Rattus norvegicus: one gene and its partner. The protein of the gene in region 1 purifies or fractionates together with the protein of each later gene. This does not show direct contact. Links are inferred from orthologs where the notes say so. Each region holds a gene or a part of one and is shown in the gene's direction. Other genes may lie near its edges.

The links.
Region 2: the proteins of Seh1l (region 1) and Nup85 purify together in Homo sapiens (affinity purification with western blotting; 4 studies listed by BioGRID and IntAct, with this or other methods). This does not show direct contact. The link is inferred for Rattus norvegicus from reciprocal best matches to the Homo sapiens genes SEH1L and NUP85.

What each region holds. Positions count from the first base shown.
Region 1 is NC_086036.1:63,628,830-63,634,994, forward strand, and holds part of Seh1l (nucleoporin SEH1), read left to right. Parts: intron 1-4,018; coding exon 4,019-4,159; intron 4,160-4,574; exon of another isoform or gene 4,575-4,690; coding exon 4,691-4,848; intron 4,849-6,141; exon of another isoform or gene 6,142-6,165. UniProt on the Homo sapiens protein: Component of the Nup107-160 subcomplex of the nuclear pore complex (NPC). The Nup107-160 subcomplex is required for the assembly of a functional NPC.
Region 2 is NC_086028.1:101,302,394-101,309,071, forward strand, and holds the start of Nup85 (nuclear pore complex protein Nup85), read left to right. Parts: upstream 1-3,041; 5' UTR 3,042-3,064; coding exon 3,065-3,097; intron 3,098-3,684; coding exon 3,685-3,778; intron 3,779-5,416; coding exon 5,417-5,579; intron 5,580-6,678. UniProt on the Homo sapiens protein: Essential component of the nuclear pore complex (NPC) that seems to be required for NPC assembly and maintenance. As part of the NPC Nup107-160 subcomplex plays a role in RNA export and in tethering NUP96/Nup98 and NUP153 to the nucleus.

The sequences.
Region 1 (6,165 bases):
TGTGTGCCATCACAGCCTGGCCTGGTTTTTTTGCTTTTTAAAAAAAGATTTCTTTCCGGAGTCTTGCCTGCATTATTTTTCTGTGTGCCATGTGCATGCCTAGTCACATGTCTTAAGGGGTCATTAGATCTCTGGAATTACAGTTGTGGTGGGTGTGGGTGCTGGGAATAAAGACCAGGCCTTCTACAGGAACAAAAGTGTGCTCTTCACTGCTGAGCTGTCTCTCTAGCCCCATTGTTTTTAGCTTTTTGAGACAGTCTCATGCTACTCCCAGTTAGTCCTGAATGAGAGTTCATTCGATTTTCCTATTTCAGCCTTTTGAGTAGGTTGAGCTTAAGGGATGCACCCCGTTTGTGAAGAGGAAACTGAAGAGGAGATAGATAGTATCTGGTACCTCAACCTGTATTACCTTGTAGAGAAAATGGGACATAAGACTAAGGAGTGGGACAAGCTTTCAGAACTAAAAGAATCAGGATGTTGAAGAGTTTTCTACGTGGGGAAACCTGGTTTAAAGATTAGGTTAGGAATGTTTACTTAGCCCAGGACCTACGGGGTGAGTAGAAGTTGGCAGAAAGCCTTTCGTGTGACTAAGACTGTATCCGATAAGACCTGGGAACAAGACTTTGTTAGCCCTGCCACTTTAACAGAACAGGCAGAGGGGACGTGACAGGCAGGCAGACGCAGTAGCCTGTTCCACTGCTGTAGTGTCGTCTTACTTGTCGTGTCCATTTGAGCACAGGGCCAAACGGTACTTTAACTCTTCGTAGGAGTGATAAGTACTTTAGAAGGGAACGTGAGTGGTTGGTGAAGTTATCTAGTTGGGAGATGACAGTGGCTTTGGCATAAAGTAGGGACAATGAGAAAGGGGAAGACAGCAAGGTACTGCAGGTACCTCGTGCATTTATCTCCCTGCTTAGGACATCTGAACACAAAAGCTTTGACACTAACATTCTTCACAACTGAACACACCAACAGCCTGTGGTGAAGTCTTAGGTCAAATATCAAGAGTGACAGGTAGAAAACAGGGTCTTTGTTAGCCGCCCTGTACCTCTTTGTTTTGACAGTCTCACTGTGGAGTCTGGTCATTTCAGAACTCATTCTGTAGACTAGGCCTTCTGTGTGCTGTGATTTATTTGCTCTCCTGTCTCTCCCAAATTCCAGGGATCACCTCTGTACCTCCATACCAGGCACGCAAGGTGCCCCCTTCCTCTGTAAAAAATAAAAAATCTGACTAAGTCTGTCAGTTGGCTATTCTGGATAGGAACTACTTTAGACAACTGTTATTTAAATCTGTTTTTATGAAGTATTTTGAATATTTCAGAAGCACCAGTAAGAGCTGAAGATAAAAACATGAATGAATGTAATTTGGCATGGTGGCACACAGCTGGAATCTCAGCGCTTGGGAGACAGAGGCAGGCAGATTTCAGTTCAGGACTGGCCTGCTCTGCATAGTGAGTTCCAGGACAACCAGAGCTATGTAGAGAAACCCCGTGTGTAAAAGAAATTAAACCAAACCAAACCAACCCCCAAAAGAGAAACGTAATAGTGGCTGTTTAGTACAGCGCTGACCATGGTAACATTTTCTTCATGTAGTAGAAAAAGAAGCAGCAGCGTAGTCTTTGACTGAGCCAGGTAAAGTACTGAGCGATAGCTGCCCCTCGCTTTCAAAGTGTTCTGTAGGTGGGGTGGGGCAGGAGCACAGCGTGGAGGGCATTTTCAAGCTCCCAGGCTGCTGAGACTGTGCCGAAGTGAGGTGAGATTTTTCAGGTAGGTATTTCAGAGTGAAGGCTCAAGAGAATTGAAGAAAGGTAGGATGGAGAGCTCTGTCCTGTCTTCGTACGTGAAGGGTTGCTTGGCTGAGTGCTTCAGTCATGTCCATGCTGTTGAACCTAAGAAGGACCAAACTCTTGACATCCTCTTCCCTTTACAGTTTGCTTGATTCCTGGTACAGTCTTATTATGTACCCCTGGCTGGCTTGGACCTTGTTATGCAGATCAGGCTGGCCTTGGAGCCCTGGGAATCCACTACCTGCCTCTGCTTCTTGAGTGCTGGGATTGAAGTTGTGAACCTCCATGACCAATTCATTGTCATCTTATTCTGTTTACTGCTACAGAACACAATGTGAGGATAAGATATTGCAGTCACCTTCAGTTTTTACTCATGCTAGGCAAGCTGGCTACCATTTAGGTTCTTGATTTTTTTTGAGCCAGGGTCTTACTGTGTAAATCAGGCTGCCCTTGAACTCATCGTGCTCTTTCTGCTTGATTGTATCTGTGTACCACCACACCCAGGTCTCTCTTGCAATAGCTTTCCCCCTCTAACCCTAGGCAGGAAAGAAAAGGATAGAGGGATCCGGACAACATTGCCATTAGGCTACTTCCCACTTTTGATTTTGGCTCTAAGGATATCCAATTTCCTCTTGTTTCTTTGCTAGTGACTGCTTAACAAAATGATGGACAGCAGTCAACGGCAACTTACCAACAGTCCCCTCCCCAACCCACCCACCTCTCAGGGCCCTAGCATTTACATACTTTCTCAAAAGTCCTTAGAATTCTAAACATTACATAATTACAGAAACTCTCCTATCAGCAGCTGGCAAAGTCATGGCTCTGCTAGAGCTCAAGGAAGGAAAGCATAGTCTCGGGCTGTGGGCTCTGAGGCTCCGTATCCCACGCCCAGGATAAATATAGTCCCATAATATTTTTGTTTTTCAATGAAAGTAAAATTCTCATTACAAGTACCTTTAACTTTTTCCTCTTTAAAGGAACTTGGTATGTTGCCCAGGCTGGCCAGGAACTCAGTGATCTTTTTGTGTACGTCCTAAAAGCTGAGGTCATAGGTGTATGCCATCAGCCAACTCTCCCTTCCCTCCTTCCTGTCTGAGAGCTCACTATCTAGACCAGGCTGAAGTCCTACAGGTCTCCCTCCCTGTGGAGTGTGGGATTAAAGGCATGAACCACTATGCTAGGCTCTTACCCTTTTTTAACAAAAAAAGGAAAACAAAAAAGGCTAATGAAGCCAGATTTTATTTGAGCTAAGTTTTGATTAAGTATTTTTATGGACTGGTAACCTGTTGGTGGGGTTCGGAGATCTGAAATCCAGTTGTTGGTTTGGTTGTGCTCTGAGGCAATCTTTTAGCTTTTGAGCCTAGGATCCTGGACTGTGGCAGCCACTCTAGGCATCTTCTCTGTTTTGTGTTTTTTTCACTCTGTTTTTTCTTAGAAACATTTTCTCTGTGTAGTCCTGACTGTCCTGGAACTTACTCTGTAGACCAGACTGGCCTCAAACTTGCTTCCTCTGCCACCGTAATGTGGGGATTAAAGGTGTGGGTTACCCCACCTTGTTCATCCTGTTTTGTCTTATCTAAGGGCATTGAACTTTAGGGTCAGTCCTACCCTAATGATAATGAATAAGGAATAGATAAATTAAAAAAAAATTTTTTTTTTTTTGGAATAAGATTACATTTGTAGGCTCCAGTTTGGGCCTAGGAGTTAGTTATTTGGGGGCCACTATTGAGTGTTCCCGCAAAAGTCAAGCATTTACTGAGAGGAGTATGAAAAACATTGAGATACATTGATGAACCTTTTCATATTTCTGACTTTTTAAAAAAATTACTCATTTATTTTGAAATGGGGGTCTCCATCCACAGTCCTGGCCGACCTGGAGCTCACAGAAGATTTTCCTGGCTCTGCCTCCACAGCGCTGGGCTTAAGTAGTACCCATCAAACGTAGCTCAAACTGTTTTTATTATAAAGATTTATGTGTGTTCATGTACATGCATGTGCATGAGTGTACATATGCCATCTATGTGCTGGTGCCTGCAGAGGCCTGAGGAGAAGGTTGAGATCCCTTGAAGCTGGAGCTGCAGGTGGGTGGGAACCCTGGAGTAGGTGCTGGGACTCCAGCTGTGGTGCTCGGGGACACAGCAAGTGCTCTTGCCCCGGAGCCGGCCGCCTCTCCAGCCTCAAGTTCTGTAGTTTTATTTCTGAAAATTTTAATTACTTTTTCTTTGACTTAGGAAATATGCAAAAGCTGAGACTCTTATGACAGTCACGGATCCTGTCCATGACATTGCGTTTGCTCCAAATTTGGGACGATCTTTCCACATCCTGGCAATAGCAACCAAAGATGTAAGAATTTTCACATTAAAACCTGTGAGGTAAGTTGTAGAGAAATGCAGAATTTGAAAGTACTCTTTCCTTCTGCTTCTCTTCCTCTGAGAGAACAGTAAGGGCTCAGGTCTGCAGACTGAGCCCTCTTCTGAATGTTGTATGTGACCTTTGGAGTGAGGATTTAGTTAATTGTTCCAGTTACTTTCCTTGTTTCTCTGCTTCCTTTCTGCTACTCTGTTGGATTTTGAACCTCGTTTAGGAGAATAATGTGCTCATTTGTGTCTTCTCCCCCTGCTCCCCCCCCCCCCCAAAAAAAAAAAAAAAAAAAAGAGGCAATGAGCTTCATCTGTGGGGTGAAATAAGTCCAGGTTTTGGAGAAGTCAAATGAAATGGTGTTTATGTAGCCCGAGGGCTGAGTGGTAGTGGGCAGTGGGCAGTGGGCAGGGGACATAAGTGCACATGTTGGGAAAGAATATGGTAAGCGTATTTATTTGTATTTTTTAGTTCAAATATATGTTTATGTGTGAGTGTATATACACACAAGACTCTTTTTGAGAACTTTGTAAATCTTTTTTTAGGAAAGAACTTACTTCTTCTGGTGGTCCAACAAAATTTGAAATCCATATTGTGGCTCAGTTTGATAATCATAATTCTCAGGTCTGGAGGGTGAGTTGGAACATAACAGGAACAGTATTGGCGTCTTCAGGAGATGACGGCTGTGTTAGGTTGTGGAAAGGTAAGGTTTTTAATAGAGGGGCAGTTGTTACTTATATTTACCTTTCACTTAAAAGTATAAATTCTGAAATATATATTTAAAATTGTTTTTAATATTATTTAAAATAATTGTCTTATGTTTGTACTATTTTGAAATACCAGATTACCTAGTTCATAGAAATTAATGGCCAATTGAATTGTTTTATTTCTATGTGGAAGAAAGCCAGTTTTGAAACTAATTAGAACATGCAGTGTCTTCGGGACAAGCTAATCTGGGTATCTGCTCTATTAAACCTTGACGAGGCCTCCAGTGGTCTTTGGTAAAAGTATTTGCCTCCCATGGGTAAGGAAATGAGTATGAATGTCTGCAACACCCCAGCTCCTTTAGGGAACTGGGGGCAGAGGGAGGAGACTTCTAACCTGGTAAGCACAGCTCAGTGAAAAAACCAGTAGAGTCCTTATCTTAAACAAGGTGGAAATAGGGGCCGACAGCTGAAGTTAACCTCTGCAAGGGTGCTATGGCACACATGTACCCGAACACGCATACACACATACACACAAATGCACGCATGCACACGAACACACACACACACACACACACACACACACACACACACACACACACACACACACACACTGTCTCTCATCCTCTCAGAGACTTTAAATCTATCATCTTTTTTTTTTCTTTTTAGACTCCAAAATTCAAGAATACTGGAGTTCTGACTCTGTGTTTTTTGTGTCCCACTGAGGGAACTTGGTCTAATCAGTGACACTGCCTTTGATGTCTGTAGCATCACAGTGGGCTGACTCTAGTCTGACCATCAGCTATAGAACTGCAGTGGGTCATTTGTCCTGAGTGCAGGCTGGCTAAGCCCTGATGGCCTCCCATGTTCAGTCTTACTATATATTCTGTAGGACCAGCCCAGATTTTCCTTTCCTCAATTTGATTTTAAGGATTTCTCTGTCCTTTTTGTTTCTAAACTTAAAGTAGGATGGCCTGGTAGTTAACCATTAGATCCTTTAACTTTAATTTACTGACTTCAGTGACTAGTTTTGCATTCAAAGAATGAGATCATGTTGGATGAACTGCTACACAGAGGTTTTCTTATCAATACACATCTCTGACCATGATGTACACAGTGCCCACGTAATGTGCATAGCCTAGAAGACAGCTCCAATCCTTATTTATATTCATTGTAAGAAAGACAAAGAATTTGGGTTTATTTCTTTTAAAGATTTTGTTTTGATATTAACTTGTATTTGTAGAGAGAGGTCAGACGACACTCTTGGGTATTGTTCCTTAGTTATGACTCACCTTTGTGTTTGAGAAAAGGTCTTT
Region 2 (6,678 bases), on another chromosome or scaffold:
GCCCTCCAAAGCCACATCAACCTGATCAAAAAAGAAGTCCAAAGAGAGGTAGGTGTAGGAGGCCCGCAGGTGCAAGTTGAGCAGATGGTTCATGACAGCTTCCAGTTTGGTGGAATAATTCTGAGGAATCTGAGAGATCATGGCTGATCTGGAGTTCAGGGCTAACCGCGAAGACGGTGTTGGCTGGTCCTAGGAGCCAAAGGCAACAAGGAGATGGCCCCAGAGGCTCCGACTGGAGAGATTTGTAAGGCGGCTGGAAGCTAATAAAGTGGGAGTCCCCAGGTCTGTTCCATCCAGTGTTGGACTGGAGAGATAACTCGGCGGTTAAGAGCACCAACTGGAGGTTGGGGATTTAGCTCAGTGGTAGAGCGCTTGCCTAGCAAGCGCAAGACCCTGGGTTCGGTCCTCAGCTCCGAAAAAAGAAAAAAGAAAAAAGAAAAAAAAAAAAAAAAAAAAGAAGAGCACCAACTGCTGTTCCAGAGGTCCTGAGTTCAATTCCCAGCGACCACATGGTGGCTCACAACCACCTGTAATGGGGTCTGGTTTGTCTGAGGACAGTTACAGTGTGCTCATATACATAAAAGTAAATCTTTTAAAAACAACAACAGAACAGTGTTGAAGCAAGACACAGATCCACAGGGCCTCCCAGGTGCTGCTCTGGGCAGTGCCTTTCTATTCCCAGATTACTTATGCATATATTGAACGAAAATAACTTGGAGTATGCTTCTGAAACTTGCATACAGGTCCACAAACAGATGTGTCCAGGCCTATAGGAACCAGAGGTCAACCTTGGGTGTCATTCCTCAGGTGTCATCTGCCTGTTTTTGTCTGTTGAGATAGGCTCTCTCACTGGACCTAGAACTCATCCTATGGCTATTCCTACTGGCCAGTGAGCCCCTGTCTGGGAAAAAAGGTGAGGGAATATCGAGCCTCGAGGGATGACTCAGAGATTGGGAACAGTGCTGCTCTTACAGAGGACTCAGGTTCACTTCTGTGCACCCGCATCAGAGAGTTCCCAAGTGTCTCTAATTCCAGTTCCAGGAGACCTGGTACCCTCTTCTTGTCTCTATGAGGATCAGGCAAGCATGTGGTGCACATACATATATATAGGTACTCAAGCAGACATAGAACATAAAAAGTAAATATTTTTTTGGGTTGGGGGGCAGTGGCCCATTCCTTTAATCCCAGGGGCTAGGAAGGCAGAAGCAGTTCAGTTTCTGTGAGTTCTAGGCAAGCCCAGTCTGCATAGTGAACTCCAGGCCAGCCAGGGCTACACAGAGAAACCCTGACTCAAAAACAAAACAACAAAGTAAAAATTCAATTAACTCTACACAGCTTGCTTATATTTAACTTTTAGGGCTTTTTAAAAAAGATTTATTTATTATATATGAATACACTGTCGCTGTCTTCAGACACACCAGAAGAGGGGATCAGATCTCATTACAGATGGTTCTGAGCCACCACGTAGTTGCTGGGATTTGAATTCAGGACCCCTGGAAGAGCAGTCAGTGCTCTTAACCACTGAGCCATCTCTCCAGCACCCCTTTTAGGGCTTTTTGAGACATAGTTTTGTTGGGCTCCAAGTCATGGCAATTCTCTGGCCTCAGCCTTTCAAATTCTTGAATTTCAAGGAGGTGTCAACATACTCTGCTGACAATTTTTATTTAATCCATCTGACTATTATTTTCTTAAAATAATTGTTGGGAGGTGGTGGTGCACACACCTTTAATCCTACTAGCACTCAGGAGGTTGAAGTAGTCAGCTCTCTGTGTGTCTCGAAAAACTAAAAACAGAATTTATTCATTGAATCCCATTACAGATGGTTGTGAGCCCATGTGGTTGCTGGCAATTGAACTCAGGACCTCTGGAAGAGCAGTCAGTGTTCCTAACCACTGAGCCATCTCTCTACCTCTTTACTTTTTTTTTTAATTAATTGTTTATTTAGCTCTGATCATATGTGGTAGATTTTGTTTAACTGTACAGTAAATTCAGTCTTTTAAAAATTATTGTATGTATACTGGCTGCATGCATATCTGCATGTCTGTGAACTACATGTGCGCCTCACATCCACAGAGGCCAGAAGAGGGCATCAGAATGCCTGGGATTTTTCCATGTGTATGTGAGTGCTTTGAATTGATCCAGTTACCCGGGAAGAACAGCATATGTGCTTAACCACTGAGCCATCAGTCCAGCTCCCCAAATCATTGATTTCAGTGATTAGGACTTGGATAAAAATTTGACAGAAAGATTTTTCTTTATTTCCTTAATGCCTGGTGGGAGTTTGTTTTCTGAGGCTGGGTTTCACTTAGCCTCACATCAAGTGAGCTCAACCTTGCTACATAGCTAAAGCTGGTTCTGAACTCCGAATTTCTGTCTCTACTTCCCAAGTGCTGCAACTGCCGGTTTAAGCCACCGTGCCCTTCTTTCAAGTCATGTATGCCCAACAATTTAAGGTAGAGGAGGTTTAGAATAATCCTAAGGAAAGAAAAGTGGCCAGTACATAAAAGGTTGAAGTCCTGTTGTTTTGGGGTGTCAATGCCCGCGACCAATTCCAAAGTAAGCGCGTTATACTTGTCGGAGTAAGAGAAAGGGACTGAGAATACTTAATAACAGACCCTGAGGGAGGGATCCCAACTACCGCTAAGAGCTAAAATAGGATTACTGAGGCGGAGTAGCTCTGCAATCCCAAGAGATGCGACAGCAAGGATCTGCGCACGCGCACACCCTCCCAGCCACCTCCTCTCCCGCCATCTCCCGGGGCCTTCCTCTTGCCTAGTGTGGGACTGTCCATGGCGCCGCCTGATCTAGTGGGAACATTCCGTGAGGACCGGTGGCCCCTGGCGACGTTTTCCTGAGGTGTTGTCTAGGTTAGAATAGTAGGAGACGTGTGTAAAGCTGCAGAGGCCTGTGTTTGGCTGAGGCGAAGGGATTTGTTGCGTTGAGATGTGCAGGCGCTTCGGAAGCCGCCCTGATGGGGTCCTCTTTGGCAGCTGGCTGTGAGCGGGAGGCCTGAGCTGAGAACAGCAGCAACGCGGAGGGGTCCCTGCTGCGGGCGCACCGCACTATGGAGGAGCTCGACTGCGAGCCCGCAGTAACTGTAAGGACGCCCGGAGAGGCTTGCTTGTCTCACTGTGAGGGTTACGTTTCTTTGGTCACTTCAGGCTTGCCTCCGTACATGTGGGACGCATGCTTTTTCTCTGGACACAGTTGCCACCATCCAGAATGTCAGATCAACTGGGAACTAGGTTAGGGCGGTGGTGGTCCCTAGGCTTCGGGTCCTGTGAATACTGGCCGGGCCGCGGAGGCCCCACTGCATCATCCCTTGTTTCTCTAACCTTTCTGCTTCTCTAGTTTCTCTCCTTGGGCGTTAGAATGAGCTTGGTGTAAGCTCCACATCGTCGCTCCAAGAGCTCAGTTGGCTTCTTCCTCTGGCTCAAAGCTTAATAAGTGCGTAATTTATTCTCACGAGAGACTATAGACCACTTGTTTCTGTCGCTTTGTATTCTATTCCGCTTACATAGAAATATTTTAAGGTGTGTGTATATGTCTGGATATGTGCACAGAACCGTTGGATACCATCTAGGCTGCCTGCCTGAACTATGGTGTCCGCAATCACACTTGGAAGTTGAATGAAAAGAAAGCCCTAACTAGGGCTAACAGTTCCTATGCCTTCTGTTTTACTAGTGGATTCCAGGTGTGAATTCCAAGAAGAAGCAAATGTGTTTTGACTGGGGCCCAGGGGAGATGCTCCTATGTGAAACTTCCTTCAACAAAACAGGTAGGTAGTTCTTGTTCACTTTTGTCTTGGTACATTTGTTGACTATCAGGGGCAGGAAACTGAAGTCATTTGGCAACATTTTTTTATGTTTGAAACTGTTTTTTGTTATTTTGAGACAAGTTACCCCTATATAGTCCTAGTGGGCTTGTCTTTGTGCAACATATGTGGGATTCGGAAACTACGTCTTCCAACCTCGATGTCCAGAGGGCTGGGATTTGAGGTGTGTCACACAACACAAAGTTTTTTTTGTTTTTTTTTTGTTTTTTTTTTTTTAATTCTGTCGTCTGTGCATGGGAGTTTTGTTTGCATGCCTATTGATGCACCACTTCGTGCTTGGTGCCTGCAGAGGCCAAAAGAGATCCCTGGACTCTAGGAACTAGAACTGTATATTTATGTGAGTTGCCATATGCGAGCTTGGAAGAGCTTGGCTGGAAGAGCTGCCTGTGTACGTCTTGTTTGGTCGTCTTTGGTTTCTTGAGATGGTCTGGCTGTCCTGGAACTGGCTCTAGACCACACTGGTTTTGAGCTCAGAAATTATTTGCCCTTTCTTCCTGAGTGTTAGGAATAAAAATATGAAATTTCAGCCAGTGGTCTTAGTCACCAAACCATCTCTTCAGCACCCTTCCTATAATGGACCTTTAGACACGAGCCATATAGCTCAGCTGTGGTGACGCACACTCGCACACCTTTCATCCCAGTACTCCGCAGACAGAAGCAGGTGGATCTGTGAGTTCAAGGCCTGCCTGATCGACAGAATGAATTCTAGATCAGCCAGGGTTACTCAGAGAAACCTTGTCTTGAAAAACCAAAACCAACCAACCAAACAAACAACAAAAAGAAATGAGTCGGACTGTGTTGCCTGCCCCAGCTGAAGGCAAACTCTTGGGTTCAGGCAATGCTTGCAGTCGTAGAATTTTTACTGTGCAGAATAGTTGACGGAGGATAGAGTGTTCCCGGCTGCCTGAGATACGATGCCGAACCCATTCTCAAAAAACCAAGGACGTAGGCTGTCGCTCAGTGATGGCATGGGCAGCATGGGCATGCCCAGGAGGCTTAGGGAGAAGGATTGCTTAGACTAGGACCCCATCTCAGCTCTCCACTTGAAAAACTCTCCTCTTCCTCTTCCTCCTCCTTCTTATTCCTCTTCTTCCTCCTCCCCTTCCTCCTCCTTCTTATTCCTCTTCCTCCTCTTCCTCTTCCTCTTCTTATTTATTTATTTATTTATTTATTTATTTATTTATTATATATAAGTACAGTGTAGCTGTCTTCAGACACACCAGAAGAGGGCATCAGATCCCATTACAGATGGTTGTGAGCCACCATGTGGTTGCTGGGAATTGAACTCAGGATCTCTGGAAGAGCTGTCAGTGCTCTTAACCACTGACTCATCTCTCCAGCACCCCTCTTCTTCTCTTTTATCATAGACCTGGCTTGCTTGGTCTATTGCATGCACTAGTCTTCTCTTTCATTTTAATCCTCCTGTCTCATTCTTCCTCTTGCTGAGTGTGTAGACATGTGCCCCCCATGCTCAGCCAGTTTTTGTGACTAAAAAATTAGAAATACTGCAGTGTTTTCTCTTTGGGGGAAAATGATAGATGTTAAATTAGTTTTTGTTTCCTTTTTCCTGTTTTGTTGCAGACAAATCAGAGAAGGTCCCGAGCTGCCCCTTTATTTATATCATAAGGAAAGATGTCGATGTTTACTCTCAAATTTTGAGAAAACTCTTCAACGAATCCCATGGAATCTTCGTTGGCCTGCAAAGACTTGAGGAAGAACTGTCCGGGAAATCCAGGAAAGCTCAGTGAGTGGTGGGTGCTGGAGCTCTAATGGAGTCGTGGTGAGAGGCACCCTTATCCTCCTGAGTGGCGGAGCGCCTTGGAGAGGATTCCTGGTCTCCAGGGTGCCTTCCCAGGATGTAGTTGTAGGTTGGGGAAATGCTGTTAGAAGACTCGGTGGCTTGGTATATCAACTCTTCGCTGTGGAGTCCTACTTCATTTGTGTGTGTTCCTTGAACACCACCACCCACCAAAGTAAAAAGAATATAAATAACACGACCAAAGAAGCCCTTGATTCGATCTCATTCTTGGAAGAGTTAAAAATGAGGCCGGCAGATGTTCGCTAACGGGCAGCCTGGTCTGCATAGTCAGTTCCAGACCACCCAGAGCTCCATGAGCCAGACTCTGTCTCAAGACAAAAGAAATGTTTATAGGGGTCAGCAGTTGAGGCAAATGGAAATAATTGCCTCTGAGGCTTATGTTTGTGACGAGGAATCAGAATTTGTTTTGCTTCCTTTGAGCGCCCAGCTGCTGAGCCACGTCACTGGGCCTGACCTCCAGGCTAGGATTTGTTTTCCTTTCCTATTTATTTATTCACTTATTTCTTCGGTGTGTCCTTTGCTTGAGCTCCGTAAGTAGATGAAGGTGAAGCTGGGTCTCCTCGAACACCCGGGGTGTGCTCTGCTGACTCAGCCTGTGTGTGTACAAATCTGTGTGTGCTCTGCTGATTCAGCCTGTGTGTGTACAAATCCGTTGTATTCTTGAGTTTCTGGTCCTCTTGCCTCCACTTCTCAAGCTTGGGATCATGGACACGGCTGCCAGGTGTGCTTTCATCAGTGCTTGGGAGCATTGCACTCCGGGCTCTGTGGGGCAGGCATTCGCAGTTGTGGAGGAGCAATGGAGAGCTGCATGCTGCCTTACTGCCTGTGGTTTGCTGGGTCTGCTCTCTTTTTTTGGGGGTGGGGGGGCTGGGGACCGAACCCAGGGCCTTGCGCTTGCTAGGCAAGTGCTCTATCACTGAGATAAATCCCCAACCCCTGGGTTTGCTTTCTTACAGCATCCAGGACCCCCAGCTAGGGGTGGCCCCCCCCATATCGATTACCAACTGAGAAAATATGCCACAGG